Saccharomyces cerevisiae S288C: one gene and its partners. The gene in region 1 interacts genetically with each later gene. Each region holds a gene or a part of one and is shown in the gene's direction. Other genes may lie near its edges. The genes, in order: PPQ1, REA1, VAC7 and YAP3.

Region 1 (3,722 bases):
ATCTCAACTTGGCCAAAATATACCGAACTCTCAGTCTACTTTCCCCACCATTGCTAACATCGGTAGTAAAGATAATAATGTACCACAGCACAACTTTTCGACCTCCATATCGAGTTTAACCAATAATTTGAGGAGAGCTGCTCCTGAAAGCTTCCATGGTTCAAGAATGAATAATATTTTTCACAAGAAAGGTAATCAGAATCTACTTCTGAGATCCAACGATCTCAACAAAAATTCTGCAGCCCCGGCCTCTCCATTGTCCAACGAACATATTACATCTAGTACGAACTCCGGTAGCGATGCAAACAGACAATCCAACTCAGGTGCCAAATTTAATAGCTTCGCCCAGTTCCTTAAATCAGATGGGATTGATGCAGAATCAAGAACACAAAGAAAATTATGGTTGCAGAGGGAGAATTCTATTATGGACTTAAGTTCACAAAATGACGGTAGTGACTCTATCTTTATGGCAGGAAACATTGATGCGAAAAGGGAGTTTGAGAGAATATCCCATGAATACTCTAATGTAAAAAGATTTTACAACCCATTAGATGAAGCATTGTTGAGAGTACAACCTATAATAACGGGAAATGCAAATAATATCAGGAAAAAAAGCCATAACGATGCTCAGTCAATCGCACATTCTAGCAGTGATACAGATCATAAGGATGAGGACGATTTGCTCTTTACTAACTATGACAAAAAATTTGATGATCTTTATCCACATCTTGCAAGTGCAAAGATTCAGGCAGTGTTGTCCGGTATATGGAAAAGCGAAAGTTACTTATTTAACAAGGATGTTAATCCAATCAACAAGAATAGGACAACGAGTACAAACCACAGCGTTGGCCACACTGCTTCACAGAATGCACGTAACTTGCTGAGGGGCCCGATGGGTTCCAGCACGACTTTGCACCACCAACGCGTCATTAACTCTCTGCAGCCGACTACGAGGGCAGTGAATCGCAGGATGGAAAATGTGGGCTACATGCATACACAGCCACAACAAAGGTGAAAACAACCAACACGAAGCACACAGTTTAAAAGAGTAGCTAATGCTTTCGAGGTAAAACGCGAAGTTCGTAGAGAGCGAATATGTTTGGACACTTAAGGAACATACTATGTTTATGCACTATAAAAGGACATGTACTTCTATACGAGCTAACGAGGCGTATTTGTATAACCCGGTTAACGTAATAAATGATAAATTATCGAACAAAAAGAAAGAAAAACGTTGAATGCAACCACCGCAAATTTAGCGATTTCGCTGGATTCCGTATCTCTTAAAAAATGGCATTAGTAAATATACCTTAAACGTGTCTATTCTTTTAGCAATTTTTTGGTAAGTATTCCTCACGGACTATAAATACTATCGGTCAGAATCACTACATTCAAATTAATCTTGTTTTACCGAGTCTCTGACGTTTCATTTACAAGCTTGTCCTTACAAAAAACCTATTTTATTACTTTAGTCCATTTTCCTTTCAAGTTAGATATTGTTTTCCCTTCACTTATATTCTATTTATGAGAAGAAGCCCGTCCAGATCAAATAATAACTTTGCAGTACCGAATTGCTCAACTAATTCAAACTCTAGTCAGCAACAATTAACTACACCTTCAGATGATCTCAACAGTAACGAACCTAATGACCCAGATGATAGTAGGTCTCTACCTACTATCAAGAAATTCAATAATAAACATTCTATAAACAATTACAACACTTTAGCATCGGCCGGGAAAAACAACAACAATAAACGAGCTAGCAATGATAATTTGCTCATTCCTGGTGAGAATGCCCATAAACAGAAAATATACACTAAGGATGAAAACTTGAAGAGCTTGTACCTAGATATCGATGTTTCTGTCGCTAAAGCCCTATCCTCATCAGCAACTGCTCCGAAGCTGATCAATACCGCAAGAACTTCCTCTACTACCACTGCCACTACCTCAAATAATATCCTGACATCACCCTCTTATCGTGAATCAAATTATTCTTCTCCATCCTCATATTCTTTTTCCTCCTACTACTCATCCGCTACGTCTGCTTCCTCATCAACCTCATCATTTTTAAAATCTTCAGGGTTATCGTCCAGAGTTAAGTCTCCTTCATCTTCGGTTAAGGCAGGTTCTTTTGGTGCGCCTTCGTCCCCAACATCTGGGATACCTAATCCTAAAAGTAGCAAGAAGCCTATATTTTTGAGACGGTATTCTCATGATACCTCTTCAAATGAAGGTCTTGATATCGATGTTGCGATCGAAAAATTACTACAAGTGGGTGAGTCAAGAGAAATTACAAAAACGTCCAAAAAAAAGAACTTTCCATTCCATTCTTGGGAAATTCAACTCATTTGCTATCATGCAAGAGAAATTTTTTTGAATCAACCTACTCTTTTGAGATTACAAGCGCCTATCAAAGTTGTCGGTGATGTTCATGGACAATTTAATGATTTATTGAGAATTTTGAAGTTGTCTGGTGTGCCATCTGATACTAATTATCTGTTCTTGGGTGATTATGTGGACCGTGGTAAGAACTCATTGGAAACAATACTATTGTTATTATGTTACAAAATAAAGTACAAAGACAACTTTTTTATGTTAAGGGGTAATCACGAATCTGCTAATGTCACAAAGATGTACGGTTTCTATGATGAATGCAAAAGGCGATTGAGCTCGAAAGTATGGAAAATGTTCGTTGACGTATTTAATACTTTGCCATTAGCAGCAATTATTCAAGATAAGATCTTTTGCGTTCATGGAGGTATATCGCCCGATTTACATGACATGAAGCAAATCGAAAAAGTCGCAAGACCAACGGATATTCCTGAAAGCGGGCTGGTTACAGACTTACTGTGGAGTGACCCAGACCCTCAAGTAACTGATTGGTCAGAAAATGATCGTGGTGTTTCATACACATTTTCTAAGAGGAACGTTCTTGATTTTTGTGCTAAGTTTAAATTCGATTTAATACTTAGGGGACATATGGTCGTAGAAGATGGTTATGAATTCTTTGCCAGGAAAAAGTTTGTCACAATCTTTTCAGCACCAAATTATTGTGGAGAATTTCATAATTGGGGGGCAGTAATGAGCGTTACAACGGGTATGATGTGTAGCTTTGAACTGTTAAAGCCGCGTGCATTGAAAAATAAAAAGAAGTTATACAAAACCAAAGTGTAGCTGTTGCTAAGATTGGTTTTGCCTGGAAAGCACATTGGTTTTTAGGCCTCTTATCCTTCATTTGGAAACTTTTTGTCCTATGATTTGTTTTTTTCATTTTATTTTTCATTTTATTTTTCATTTTATTTTCATTTAGTTAACATTATTATGCAGTTATTTTTTTTTTTCCCACCTTCATGGCCTCGTTTATGTCTTTTATCAATATATTTTTTACGTTTATAAGTCATTTACTCGACTTTTTTTACCTTTGATATGCAATCATATTATTCTTCCCTCCATTATGGCTAAATAAATGATAATTATAATCTATAGTTTTCAAGCGTTCATATTTTGACAGATAAGATTATGCAACAACTTGGAAGGGCGGAAGGAAGCAAAAAGAAAACTCCGATACGGGGAGTCGAACCCCGGTCTCCACGGTGAAAGCGTGATGTGATAGCCGTTACACTATATCGGACAATAATTGGACAGAAAATTTTGTTAAAGTGTCAGCCTAATCGGCGTAATACGTATATATGTATATTATCTGCATATTATTACGATAATAT
Region 2 (4,743 bases), on another chromosome or scaffold:
ATTGTTCGCTTAAATACAGAAAATAGGAAAGCAATACGAAATCATTACTTTTATCATGTTGTTTCTTAACGTAATTACTTAATAAAACTCATGTGAACCGTATGAAATGTAATAACTATATATGTCTGCTCAACTTTGAATATGATCACATTATTTTTCCCACTTGTTTTGACTTGGAGAAATACCTATTTTGACTTTAACAACGTCCATCGTTGCTATTGCATCTTGAGAACTATCATGCTCGCCATTTTGGATTTTTCTACTCAAAACTTCAAACGCTAAGTTCTTCAAAGAAACCTTAAACTTTGTTCTTGAATAAAGTATTGCAGTATCTATAACCTTATTATGAAATAGCCTCATGACGTTCAGATCGTTCTCTAGTCCGTGCCCTATAAGAATACTATTTTTATTTATTAAGTTTTCGGATAAAAAAACATCAAGTGCCTCCTTGTACGTCGGGCAATTGGTTCGGTCAATCTCATGGACACCACTGAAGTCTGAATTCAGATCGACAATATCCCCTATTGGCTGAATTACATGATCAAATAGTGTCTTGCCGGTGAAAAAATCCACAATTGTTAAACGTATCATCTCATAGCCCAATGATGTAAAAGCCATTTCACAGTCAAGAGAAAGAACATTCTCAACACCATCAATGTCATCTGTACTAGAAAACTTCGAAATTTTGCATAACTCGTCATATGATTCTCCTCTAAACACATGGTGAAAAAACGTCTTGCATCCTAGCCTTAGAAAAGAAACGGAATCAGTAGTTTCACCACAGCATGGATACTGATGGTTCTTGGTATCTCTGTTGTATATTCTTTTCAAAGGGTGATACCTACATAGAGTCTTTTCCATGATGTCTGTTTTTTTGAAATTTGAGCTGCAACGCAAACAAGGTGCATACAGTTGCGTACTATTGTCATCATTAGTTTTATTTTGCATTTCCTTAACAATATACCCATTTTTCTCTAAGACCTTCGAATCCAAAATCAGAGCCTTTAAAGCTTCCATCGCTTTTGATTTTGTAGTGATAGAGTTTGCATTACCAATTGAGGATAAATGAGGCTTAGCTCCTTTAAGGGGGCGCCCATTAATTTTGATCTTCGAGAGATCTCCTTTATATTTAAGCACATCCCGCAGTAAAATGCTCATGTTAAACTTGTAACTCTGACCAGACAAGCTGTTTTTAGCAACATGGACTTCTAAGCGAGTGGCAAGTCTTTCAAGGTCAATATTAGTTCCTTTTGTGTGTGCATATGCCTTTTGTAGCTGCTTGAATAATTTCTGCAAAATTTTATATCTTTCTTGGAATCCAAGCGGTTGATTTACCAGATCAACCGGTCTCAACAAACTTCCCATACTAAAGCTTTCTCTTGATATATAGTCAAACTGAATGTATACTGAAACACATATTCAAGGCATTGATTTTAAATGCACTTGAACCGTTATTCCATTTCTTTTTCTACTCATCATTTATTGTCGCCCTTTACGAGGTATTTTTTCTTTTTCGAGTGAAAAATTTTAAAGAAGCGATGAGCTAAGGTCTATTTAGCTTTATGAAAAGAAAACATTATATCACTTACTGCTTTACTTTAGACATTCCTCTCCAAAGTGATTATTTTAAAGATTCAAAGTACCTCTGAGTTAATTTGACATCGAATTCTACTCTTATTATTTTAAGGTACCTCTACTTTACGCGGTCACATTATTTTTAAAACCGTTATAATCTGCTGAGAATGTCCCAGGATAGAATTTTGTTAGATTTAGACGTAGTTAACCAAAGGTTAATTCTCTTCAATTCTGCTTTTCCCTCTGATGCTATTGAAGCGCCCTTCCACTTTAGCAACAAGGAATCAACTTCTGAGAATTTAGACAATTTAGCAGGAACTATACTACATAGCCGTTCCATCACTGGTCATGTTTTCCTTTACAAACATATTTTTTTAGAGATAGTGGCACGTTGGATAAAGGACTCCAAAAAAAAAGATTACGTTCTTGTAATTGAAAAGTTGGCAAGTATAATTACAATATTTCCCGTTGCAATGCCATTAATTGAAGACTATTTAGATAAAGAGAATGATCATTTCATCACTATTCTTCAAAATCCATCCACACAAAAGGATTCCGACATGTTTAAAATACTATTAGCATACTATAGGTTACTATATCACAATAAAGAAGTATTTGCACGCTTCATTCAACCCGACATTTTATACCAACTTGTGGATTTACTCACCAAAGAACAAGAAAATCAGGTTGTTATATTTCTAGCATTAAAGGTTTTATCTTTATACTTAGACATGGGAGAAAAAACATTAAACGATATGCTCGACACTTATATAAAATCACGCGATTCATTGTTGGGCCATTTTGAGGGCGATTCTGGAATTGATTACAGCTTCCTCGAACTGAACGAAGCTAAGAGATGTGCAAATTTCTCTAAACTACCCAGTGTTCCAGAATGTTTCACTATAGAAAAAAAATCTAGCTACTTCATTATTGAGCCTCAGGATTTGAGTACTAAGGTCGCGTCAATCTGTGGCGTTATCGTCCCTAAGGTCCACACTATCCACGACAAAGTATTCTACCCATTAACCTTTGTCCCTACTCATAAAACGGTTTCCTCTCTTCGTCAACTCGGGAGAAAGATTCAAAATTCAACTCCAATAATGCTCATTGGAAAAGCGGGATCCGGTAAAACCTTTTTAATCAATGAGCTAAGTAAATATATGGGTTGCCATGACTCCATTGTGAAAATTCATTTAGGTGAACAAACTGATGCCAAGTTACTGATTGGTACTTATACCTCTGGTGACAAGCCAGGCACGTTTGAATGGAGAGCTGGTGTTCTCGCTACCGCGGTCAAAGAAGGGAGATGGGTACTTATAGAAGACATAGATAAAGCTCCTACAGATGTTTTATCAATACTTTTATCGCTTTTAGAAAAGCGCGAACTAACCATTCCATCCAGAGGAGAGACTGTAAAGGCTGCAAATGGTTTCCAGTTAATATCAACTGTTAGAATAAACGAAGATCATCAGAAGGATAGTTCCAATAAGATCTATAACTTGAATATGATTGGTATGAGAATCTGGAATGTTATTGAATTAGAGGAACCTAGCGAAGAGGATTTGACACACATTTTAGCCCAAAAGTTTCCCATTTTGACCAACCTTATCCCCAAACTAATCGATTCATACAAAAACGTCAAAAGTATTTATATGAACACCAAGTTCATTTCATTGAACAAGGGGGCACACACAAGAGTTGTATCTGTAAGAGATTTAATTAAGCTGTGCGAAAGGTTAGACATCCTATTCAAAAACAATGGCATCAACAAACCTGACCAACTAATCCAGTCTTCTGTCTACGACAGTATTTTCTCCGAAGCCGCCGACTGTTTCGCTGGCGCTATTGGAGAATTCAAAGCTTTGGAACCTATTATACAAGCAATCGGCGAGTCATTAGACATTGCTTCCTCAAGGATTTCGTTATTTTTGACCCAACATGTGCCCACTTTGGAAAACCTTGATGATAGCATTAAAATTGGAAGAGCCGTATTACTTAAGGAAAAGCTAAATATACAAAAAAAATCAATGAACAGCACATTGTTCGCATTTACGAATCATTCTTTAAGACTAATGGAACAGATTTCTGTTTGTATACAGATGACTGAACCTGTTTTACTAGTCGGTGAAACGGGTACCGGGAAAACTACAGTCGTTCAACAACTTGCTAAGATGTTAGCAAAAAAATTAACGGTAATCAATGTTTCACAACAAACAGAAACTGGTGATCTTCTTGGTGGGTACAAACCCGTAAATTCTAAAACAGTTGCAGTTCCTATACAAGAAAATTTTGAAACTCTTTTTAATGCTACATTTTCCTTAAAGAAGAACGAGAAGTTTCACAAGATGCTACATAGGTGCTTCAACAAGAATCAATGGAAGAACGTTGTTAAACTTTGGAACGAAGCGTACAAAATGGCTCAAAGCATATTAAAAATTACAAACACTGAAAATGAAAACGAAAATGCAAAGAAGAAGAAAAGAAGACTCAATACTCATGAAAAAAAATTGTTACTTGACAAATGGGCTGACTTCAATGACTCAGTGAAGAAGTTTGAGGCCCAGTCTAGCTCTATTGAAAACTCGTTTGTCTTCAATTTTGTCGAGGGTTCTTTGGTAAAGACTATCAGGGCTGGGGAGTGGCTATTGCTCGATGAAGTGAATTTAGCAACCGCAGATACCTTAGAAAGTATTTCTGACCTTCTCACCGAGCCTGATTCTCGTAGTATTCTTCTTTCAGAAAAGGGTGACGCTGAGCCTATAAAAGCTCACCCCGATTTTAGAATATTTGCTTGTATGAACCCCGCTACTGATGTTGGTAAAAGAGACTTACCTATGGGTATCAGATCAAGATTTACCGAAATATATGTACATTCTCCGGAACGTGATATTACTGATTTGCTTTCCATAATTGATAAATATATTGGAAAGTACAGCGTCAGCGATGAATGGGTAGGAAATGACATCGCTGAACTTTACCTTGAAGCCAAAAAACTCTCCGATAACAATACTATAGTTGATGGCTCAAACCAAAAACCACACTTTAGTATCCGTACCCTGACGCGTACATTGCTTTATGTTACTGATATTATTCATATCTACGGTCTACGCCGTTCCCTGTATGATGGATTCTGTATGAGTTTTTTGACTTTACTGGACCAAAAATCTG
Region 3 (5,680 bases), on another chromosome or scaffold:
AAGAACTTAACAAGAAACCAATTATTAAAGGCTTACTTACTGATAGTAGATCAACGATCAGTATAATTAAGTCTACAAATGAAGAGAAATTTAGAAACAGATTTTTTGGCACAAAGGCAATGAGACTTAGAGATGAAGTATCAGGTAATAATTTATACGTATACTACATCGAGACCAAGAAGAACATTGCTGATGTGATGACAAAACCTCTTCCGATAAAAACATTTAAACTATTAACTAACAAATGGATTCATTAGATCTATTACATTATGGGTGGTATGTTGGAATAAAAATCAACTATCATCTACTAACTAGTATTTACGTTACTAGTATATTATCATATACGGTGTTAGAAGATGACGCAAATGATGAGAAATAGTCATCTAAATTAGTGGAAGCTGAAACGCAAGGATTGATAATGTAATAGGATCAATGAATATTAACATATAAAACGATGATAATAATATTTATAGAATTGTGTAGAATTACAGATTTCCTTTTATGGATTCCTAAATCCTCGAGGAGAACTTCTAGTATATTCTGTATACCTAATATTATAGCCTTTATCAACAATGGAATCCCAACAATTATCTCAACATTCACCCATTTCTCAAAACTATCACGGAATACTAATCGAAGACTAGTGACGCACGTTACGCTATAGCAACAACGTCACAAGGATAACGTTAGTAGTTTTTTGGAAGGACAATTGCAAACTATATGTAAACGAACGAAGACACACAGTCCAAAGCTGTAACAACAACCACATATATAAATGGTAGTCTTCTAGGAAACTTCACTGTAAGATTAGATACGTAGAGGTGAAAGACAAGTTGAAGTTTGGATCGGAAGTTCCATTAATATTTGGGTAAGTAAGTTCGCCGCGCGGCAGAAACGGTGAGTACTTACTCACTTTTGTTCTAACTACAACAAAAAACTGTAAAAGTGGTGTAAGGTTTACGTTCCGTTTTGGTTGCAAATCATCAGCCCTGGTTTAAGCTTTATGTCCAACATTGGTTAGCGAAGGCACCGTACTGGTCTCGATGTCGGTGAGCAGGGGCGGCGAAATTCATTCCAATCTTGGATAATATATATGTATATATCTATACACGCGGCGAGATCTTGTCCTCTAATTTCCCTTCGCTAAATCATTAAGAGGTCATTCATGAAGTTAATTCAGCACCAAAGTTGGACTGTTAGACACGAGATACACATTGCAGTCCAAATGTGCAGATTTTTCAGATAATTGTCGTCGCACAAGACTGCCCCTCCCGTCCTCAGACAGACACAAAATTAGATTTTACGTTTACATAAAGATGTACATAACTTGAAAAAACGTTAATCCCTCTTAAATTTAGACCTTGTAAGTCTTCCTGGCCACTCTTTGTGATATATTGTAGTGCAATATATTGATTCGTTCTTCTTATTTCTTTGTTCTTAGGCATTTCCGCTTTAGAAAATTCGTTGGGTGGTTTCTGCGACGGGTATCCCCTTCGATTTTGCATAATGATCTTCAATTCTACAACTAAAATCAAGTAGATACAGGAAAATATTCCATAAATTATAGTGTAAATCGCCCTGTATACACCTTATCGTTTCATCTCAGGCAAGTTAAAGCATTTGGGAAACGTGCTAGATGACAGAAGAAGATAGAAAGCTCACTGTAGAGACAGAAACAGTTGAGGCACCCGTGGCAAATAATCTTTTATTGTCGAATAACAGTAATGTAGTAGCACCTAATCCTTCTATTCCCTCTGCCTCCACATCTACCTCTCCGCTACACAGGGAAATAGTTGATGATTCTGTCGCTACTGCTAACACCACCAGCAACGTTGTACAGCATAATTTGCCCACCATAGATAACAATTTAATGGATTCCGATGCCACGTCACATAATCAAGATCATTGGCATTCAGACATAAACAGGGCAGGAACATCAATGTCAACGAGTGATATCCCAACAGATTTACATTTAGAACATATCGGCTCTGTTTCATCAACTAATAATAATAGTAACAATGCCCTAATCAACCACAACCCTCTGTCATCTCATCTTTCCAATCCGTCATCTTCATTACGAAACAAGAAGAGCTCTTTGTTGGTAGCTTCTAACCCTGCGTTTGCTTCAGATGTTGAACTCTCGAAGAAGAAACCTGCCGTCATCTCCAATAATATGCCTACAAGTAACATTGCCCTTTATCAAACAGCGAGATCGGCGAATATTCATGGTCCATCATCAACTTCCGCATCTAAAGCGTTCAGAAAGGCTTCGGCCTTCTCCAATAACACGGCACCCAGCACTAGTAATAACATCGGCTCGAATACACCTCCAGCTCCTCTTTTACCTCTACCTTCACTATCACAACAAAATAAGCCAAAAATAATAGAGAGGCCCACAATGCACGTCACTAATTCAAGAGAAATACTTTTAGGTGAAAACCTGTTAGATGATACAAAGGCGAAGAATGCTCCCGCGAATTCAACCACACACGATAATGGTCCAGTAGCAAATGATGGGCTGCGTATACCGAATCACTCGAACGCAGATGATAATGAAAATAACAACAAAATGAAGAAGAATAAAAACATTAATAGTGGGAAAAATGAACGTAATGATGACACCAGCAAAATATGCACTACATCTACTAAAACAGCGCCTTCAACCGCACCTTTGGGCAGTACAGACAATACTCAGGCTCTCACTGCTAGTGTCTCCAGCAGTAATGCTGACAATCACAATAATAACAAGAAGAAAACCAGCAGCAACAACAACGGCAATAACAGTAATAGTGCATCCAATAAAACCAATGCCGATATCAAGAATTCTAACGCCGACTTGAGCGCTTCTACCTCTAACAATAATGCAATAAATGACGACTCACATGAGAGTAATTCAGAAAAACCAACAAAGGCGGATTTTTTCGCTGCAAGGCTGGCTACAGCTGTAGGTGAAAATGAAATTAGTGATTCTGAGGAAACATTTGTTTATGAATCGGCAGCTAATTCGACTAAAAACCTAATATTTCCTGACTCCTCCAGCCAGCAGCAGCAGCAGCAACAGCAACCTCCAAAACAACAGCAACAGCAACAAAATCATGGAATAACCTCAAAGATAAGCGCCCCATTGCTAAACAATAACAAAAAATTATTAAGCCGACTGAAAAATTCAAGACATATTAGCACTGGTGCCATATTGAATAACACAATCGCGACTATAAGCACAAATCCGAACTTGAATTCTAATGTGATGCAGAACAATAACAATCTGATGTCGGGACACAATCACCTGGACGAGTTGAGCAGTATAAAACAGGAGCCACCGCATCAATTGCAGCAGCAGCAACCACCAATGGATGTACAATCGGTAGATTCGTATACCTCTGACAACCCAGACAGCAATGTTATTGCCAAGTCGCCTGATAAGAGGTCAAGCTTAGTATCCCTATCTAAAGTTTCTCCACATTTACTTTCATCCACATCAAGCAACGGTAACACAATATCGTGTCCCAATGTTGCCACAAATTCGCAGGAATTGGAACCAAACAATGATATTTCAACGAAGAAATCTCTTTCCAATTCTACTTTGAGACATTCCTCTGCTAATAGAAATTCTAATTATGGTGACAACAAAAGGCCTCTTAGAACAACAGTGTCAAAGATATTTGATTCAAACCCTAATGGAGCTCCTTTACGGAGATACTCTGGGGTACCGGATCACGTTAATCTAGAAGATTACATCGAACAGCCGCATAATTATCCAACAATGCAAAATAGTGTGAAAAAGGATGAATTTTATAACAGCAGGAACAATAAGTTTCCCCATGGTTTAAACTTTTATGGTGATAACAATGTTATTGAAGAGGAAAATAATGGTGACTCGTCTAATGTAAATCGACCGCAACACACTAACCTTCAGCATGAGTTTATTCCAGAAGATAACGAAAGTGATGAAAACGATATTCACTCCATGTTTTATTATAATCATAAGAACGATTTAGAAACAAAACCGCTAATATCCGATTATGGTGAAGATGAAGACGTAGATGATTATGATCGCCCAAATGCTACTTTCAACAGTTACTATGGCTCAGCATCCAACACGCACGAACTTCCATTACATGGAAGGATGCCTTCAAGATCAAATAATGATTACTACGATTTTATGGTTGGCAACAATACTGGCAATAACAACCAATTGAATGAATATACCCCCTTAAGAATGAAACGTGGTCAAAGACACCTATCAAGAACAAACAATAGCATAATGAATGGTAGCATCCATATGAATGGTAACGATGACGTTACCCATTCCAATATCAATAATAACGATATTGTTGGTTACTCACCGCACAACTTTTACTCAAGGAAGTCCCCATTTGTGAAAGTAAAGAATTTTCTTTATCTTGCATTTGTTATATCATCACTATTGATGACAGGATTCATTCTGGGATTTTTATTGGCCACTAATAAAGAACTACAAGATGTAGACGTGGTAGTGATGGATAATGTGATTTCAAGTTCGGACGAGTTGATCTTCGACATCACAGTAAGTGCTTTTAATCCAGGATTCTTCAGTATAAGCGTTTCCCAAGTCGATTTGGACATTTTTGCAAAAAGTTCTTACCTGAAGTGCGATTCTAATGGTGACTGTACAGTAATGGAACAGGAACGGAAAATTTTACAAATAACGACAAATCTTTCGTTAGTTGAAGAGAGTGCTAATAATGATATTAGTGGTGGGAACATAGAGACGGTATTACTAGGAACCGCTAAAAAACTAGAGACACCATTAAAGTTCCAGGGCGGCGCATTTAATAGGAACTACGATGTGTCAGTCTCGAGTGTCAAGCTTTTAAGTCCTGGGTCTCGTGAAGCCAAGCACGAAAACGACGATGATGACGATGATGATGGCGACGATGGTGACGATGAAAACAATACTAATGAAAGACAATACAAAAGCAAACCAAATGCTAGAGATGACAAAGAAGATGATACTAAAAAATGGAAGCTACTAATCAAGCATGATTACGAATTGATAGTCCGTGGAAGCATGAAGTATGAGGTGCCCTTTTTCAATACGCAAAAATCTACGGCTATTCAAAAGGATTCCATGGTCCATCCTGGTAAGAAGTGAGTGTTAAGAATGTAGCTTTTTCGTCAAAGCTGGGTATTTTTCTTTTTATAGCGCAGGAGCGGAAGGCAATTTCCAAAACAGGAATGTACTTTCCAAAAAAGGAAAATGTAGTTTGTTTTTTGATGTTTTTTTCTCTTTGACTATTTCAAATTTAGAAGTGAAAAAATACAAAAATGTTACATAGGATTCGATACAGTGTAATATATCATTATTATTACTTTTAAATAAAGCGTTTAGTAAACAAGAGTGAGGGTTATGCAACTCGTTTAGTAAACATTCTTTTTTTTTTCTTCATTTAAGTATAAGACAACAATAGTAGCGGAAGCGATAGTAATACATTTGGTAGCGATAAGTGCACATGCAATTTCACTCAGATAAGCAGCATTTGGACAGTAAAACCGACATCGATTTCAAGCCAAACTCACCGCGTTCCTTACAAAATAGGAATACCAAAAATTTATCTTTAGATATAGCAGCACTCCATCCATTAATGGAATTCTCATCGCCAAGCCAAGATGTGCCAGGTTCAGTAAAATTCCCATCGCC
Region 4 (3,496 bases), on another chromosome or scaffold:
GCACCTTGTAGATAATAGGTTTTTGAGAAATTGGTCGAGTCAGGCCTAAGTTCCCTATTTGGTTTCTTTTTGCAGTTAATTGAGCAATGGAAAACAGATTTGCAATACATGCAGCTATTTTCTATTTGATCGTCTGCAATTGGGCTCAAATCAATTACTGTTTCAATAACAGTATTGATTAGAAATTCTTCGTGATTAATTCCTACGTTATGTGGAATGTTGTACAAACGTTGTTTCACAGAATTTCTTAAGGATTCATGTAAGGTTCCCATGATAGCTTCTTGTAGGTAATCCTTTAGATTAGGACAATCTTGGCAGCATTTAGAAAAAATCCATTTTTCCATTAGTACCAACTTTTGAAGTTTATTCATTAACAATGCGGAATTTCTACATGTTGTATCAACCAAAACCTTTTCCCAGGCTCTAATTCTGACATCTCTACCATGTAAACTTCTATATTTGTTTTTTAAACCATCGATTATCCTAAAAATGTCAGTTGTATTTGTGTTCATGATATCTAAACTTTCACCGAGTCCTTCTTTGATTATCTTGCACAAGATTTCATTTTCACGAGGATCGATTTCTATGATATCATTTTCAAAGACATCATCAAATTGATATTTCTTGATGAATTTTTTAAAATTGTTTAAGAGAATAGGAATGTTCTCGACATTATTAGTCCTATAATCAAAAACACAATCCTTAGGGTAGAATCTTTTGTTGGTTGAAGTTAACGTATCGAATAAATAGTAAGTCCCTGTAGCATCTATATGTTCATGTAATATATTATTGTTCTCGTTTGTTTCCAATAATTGTATCTTTTCAACTAGATCCACAATCCTATTCTCAACCTTGTCAATGGTTTCTCCGAGTTTTAATAATTTTTCAGCTAGCATCTGAATATCATCAGTCTCAGAAAGTTTTTCCTCTTCTGCCTTTAAACCATTTAGTATGGTTTTAAACCTATTTAAGTTTCTTTGATATTGTTTCACCTGTTCATCTTTAATAGAAACTTTTCTTAATGATGATGGCGTCTGTCTGACAGTATCATTTGTTTTGACTTTCGATTGAATCCGCGCAGAAATGTTGTCGTCAATAACATTTCTTGTTTCATCCCTCACTGGGGTCGCCATGTTGATAATTAGAGGTAAAAAATTAGTATTAATGAAGAAGTGAGTACTGATCTTCTTATACTAAATAAGAGAGGTATATAAAACACACGCCGATTGGTCATATTAATTATGACCAATATAATAGTGATTCCGGTAGTTACTATACATTGATGTGACGACTCATATTCCTCATATATGTACCTACCATAACATGTTCAACTAATAGGTCTTTAACACCGCTTCAGTATTGTCTGAGCTTCTCGTTTAACATTCCTTCTGCAATAGGCGCAATCACACTTAAACGTATACGAGTTGTACATTAATATACGATGTAAGCATTAGATTGTTACCATAGCAACTCATGTCACTATCAATTACTCTCGTTCCAACAGTATGATTCATATTTTATATAATATATATAAGATAAGTAACATTCCGTGAATTAATCTGATAAACTGTTTTGACAACTGGTTACTTCCCTAAGACTGTTTGTATTAGGATTGTCAAGACACTCCGGTATTACTCGAGCCCGTAATACAACATAATCAATAAGAATTTGGTTTCGTGGTCTAGTCGGTTATGGCATCTGCTTAACACGCAGAACGTCCCCAGTTCGATCCTGGGCGAAATCAATTTTTTTTGAATTTTTTTTTTTTCTTTAGAAAAATGTATAGTGGATTTTCGTAGCTTTATGTTAAGAGTACAGCAACGGCATTATTATTCAATAAGCATTATAAAACAGATCGATTTGAATATTACCGGAGGCCCTCTGAGCTTTCTTATTTGTTTATCATTTCGATAAAAGGGGCAGTAGGTGTTTGCTTTACTTCCAGTATAAACTAACGAAGAATAAGGCTGAAGCAATTGTTATGACGCCTTCTAATATGGATGATAATACCAGCGGATTCATGAAATTTATTAACCCTCAATGCCAAGAGGAGGATTGTTGTATCAGAAATAGTCTATTCCAAGAAGATAGCAAATGTATAAAACAACAACCAGACCTATTGAGCGAGCAAACAGCACCCTTCCCAATTTTGGAAGACCAGTGTCCTGCTTTGAACCTTGACAGATCAAATAATGATTTGCTATTACAGAACAACATATCTTTCCCTAAGGGTAGTGATCTTCAAGCAATTCAACTAACCCCTATTTCAGGCGACTACTCTACCTATGTTATGGCAGATAACAATAATAATGATAATGATAGTTATAGTAATACAAATTATTTTTCTAAAAATAATGGTATATCTCCAAGTTCGAGGAGTCCCTCAGTTGCTCATAATGAGAATGTTCCAGATGACTCTAAGGCAAAGAAAAAGGCTCAAAACAGAGCCGCCCAAAAAGCCTTCAGAGAGAGAAAAGAAGCCAGAATGAAAGAATTACAAGATAAATTGTTAGAAAGTGAAAGGAACCGCCAAAGTTTATTGAAAGAAATTGAGGAACTAAGAAAGGCAAATACTGAAATCAACGCAGAGAACAGACTGCTACTGCGGAGTGGTAATGAAAATTTTTCAAAGGACATAGAAGATGATACCAACTACAAATATTCTTTCCCAACGAAAGATGAATTTTTTACCTCTATGGTCCTGGAAAGCAAACTGAATCACAAAGGCAAGTATTCGCTAAAGGATAATGAAATTATGAAGCGAAATACCCAGTATACTGACGAAGCAGGAAGACATGTACTAACAGTCCCCGCCACCTGGGAGTATCTTTACAAACTTTCAGAAGAGAGGGACTTTGATGTGACATACGTTATGAGCAAATTGCAAGGACAAGAATGTTGTCATACCCATGGACCTGCGTATCCAAGAAGTTTAATCGATTTTCTAGTGGAGGAAGCTACTTTGAATGAATGAATAGACTTTGACAAAAATAACTTACAAACACTAAATAAGAAAGGGCAGGCAACATCTTCATGAGGCAAACCAGGTTCTTTTTTTATTGACTTCGAAGTATACATTTTCATCGCATAATTGACACACAATACGCCCTTTACCATTCCAACCTACTACACCTTTTACTTATATAAGTGTATAAACTATGTTCTTACGCGGTGTTTTTAGGGGACGGCCTGTTATAAAATGGAAAATATAAAAATGAAATTTCACCCGCGGATTAAGTAAAAGTTCAAAGGAAAACACATAGAGGCAATAACGGAATAGTAGCATTGAATGTATTACTTTCTGGTTGGCCCTCACATCTATGGATCAATTTGAGTATATCATTACTTTAGAATTTGGAAACCAAAATCAGGTTGAATCCGCTTATCAAATTTTCAAGAGTATTCCGAAAAAGTTGAAGGCAAAAAGTATCGGGGAAGAAAGTATTAAAAGTAATAATCAAGACTGGCAGGATTGGAGAGTCTGTGACTTGGAAAT

Evidence for each region.
Region 2: mutations in PPQ1 (region 1) and REA1 together harm fitness more than expected from each alone (negative genetic interaction), as found in Saccharomyces cerevisiae (one large-scale study listed by BioGRID).
Region 3: mutations in PPQ1 (region 1) and VAC7 together harm fitness more than expected from each alone (negative genetic interaction), as found in Saccharomyces cerevisiae (one large-scale study listed by BioGRID).
Region 4: mutations in PPQ1 (region 1) and YAP3 together harm fitness more than expected from each alone (negative genetic interaction), as found in Saccharomyces cerevisiae (one large-scale study listed by BioGRID).

What each region holds. Positions count from the first base shown.
Region 1 is NC_001148.4:206,633-210,354, forward strand, and holds PPQ1 (protein-serine/threonine phosphatase), read left to right. Parts: upstream 1-1,524; coding exon 1,525-3,174; downstream 3,175-3,722. Other genes in the region: TCO89 (Tco89p), read left to right, coding at 1-1,015. UniProt on the Saccharomyces cerevisiae protein: Phosphatase involved in the regulation of protein synthesis. Affects translational accuracy.
Region 2 is NC_001144.5:360,738-365,480, reverse strand, and holds the start of REA1 (AAA family ATPase midasin), read left to right. Parts: upstream 1-1,742; coding exon 1,743-4,743. Other genes in the region: REX3 (RNA exonuclease), read right to left, coding at 151-1,365. UniProt on the Saccharomyces cerevisiae protein: Nuclear chaperone required for maturation and nuclear export of pre-60S ribosome subunits.
Region 3 is NC_001146.8:524,450-530,129, forward strand, and holds VAC7 (Vac7p), read left to right. Parts: upstream 1-1,636; coding exon 1,637-5,134; downstream 5,135-5,680. Other genes in the region: tyrosine/serine/threonine protein phosphatase MSG5, read left to right, coding at 5,493-5,680. UniProt on the Saccharomyces cerevisiae protein: The PI(3,5)P2 regulatory complex regulates both the synthesis and turnover of phosphatidylinositol 3,5-bisphosphate (PtdIns(3,5)P2). Positively regulates FAB1 kinase activity.
Region 4 is NC_001140.6:83,546-87,041, reverse strand, and holds YAP3 (Yap3p), read left to right. Parts: upstream 1-1,981; coding exon 1,982-2,974; downstream 2,975-3,496. Other genes in the region: YHL009W-A (gag protein), read right to left, coding at 1-1,133; ETP1 (Etp1p), read left to right, coding at 3,321-3,496. UniProt on the Saccharomyces cerevisiae protein: Transcription activator involved in the regulation of genes expressed in response to environmental changes.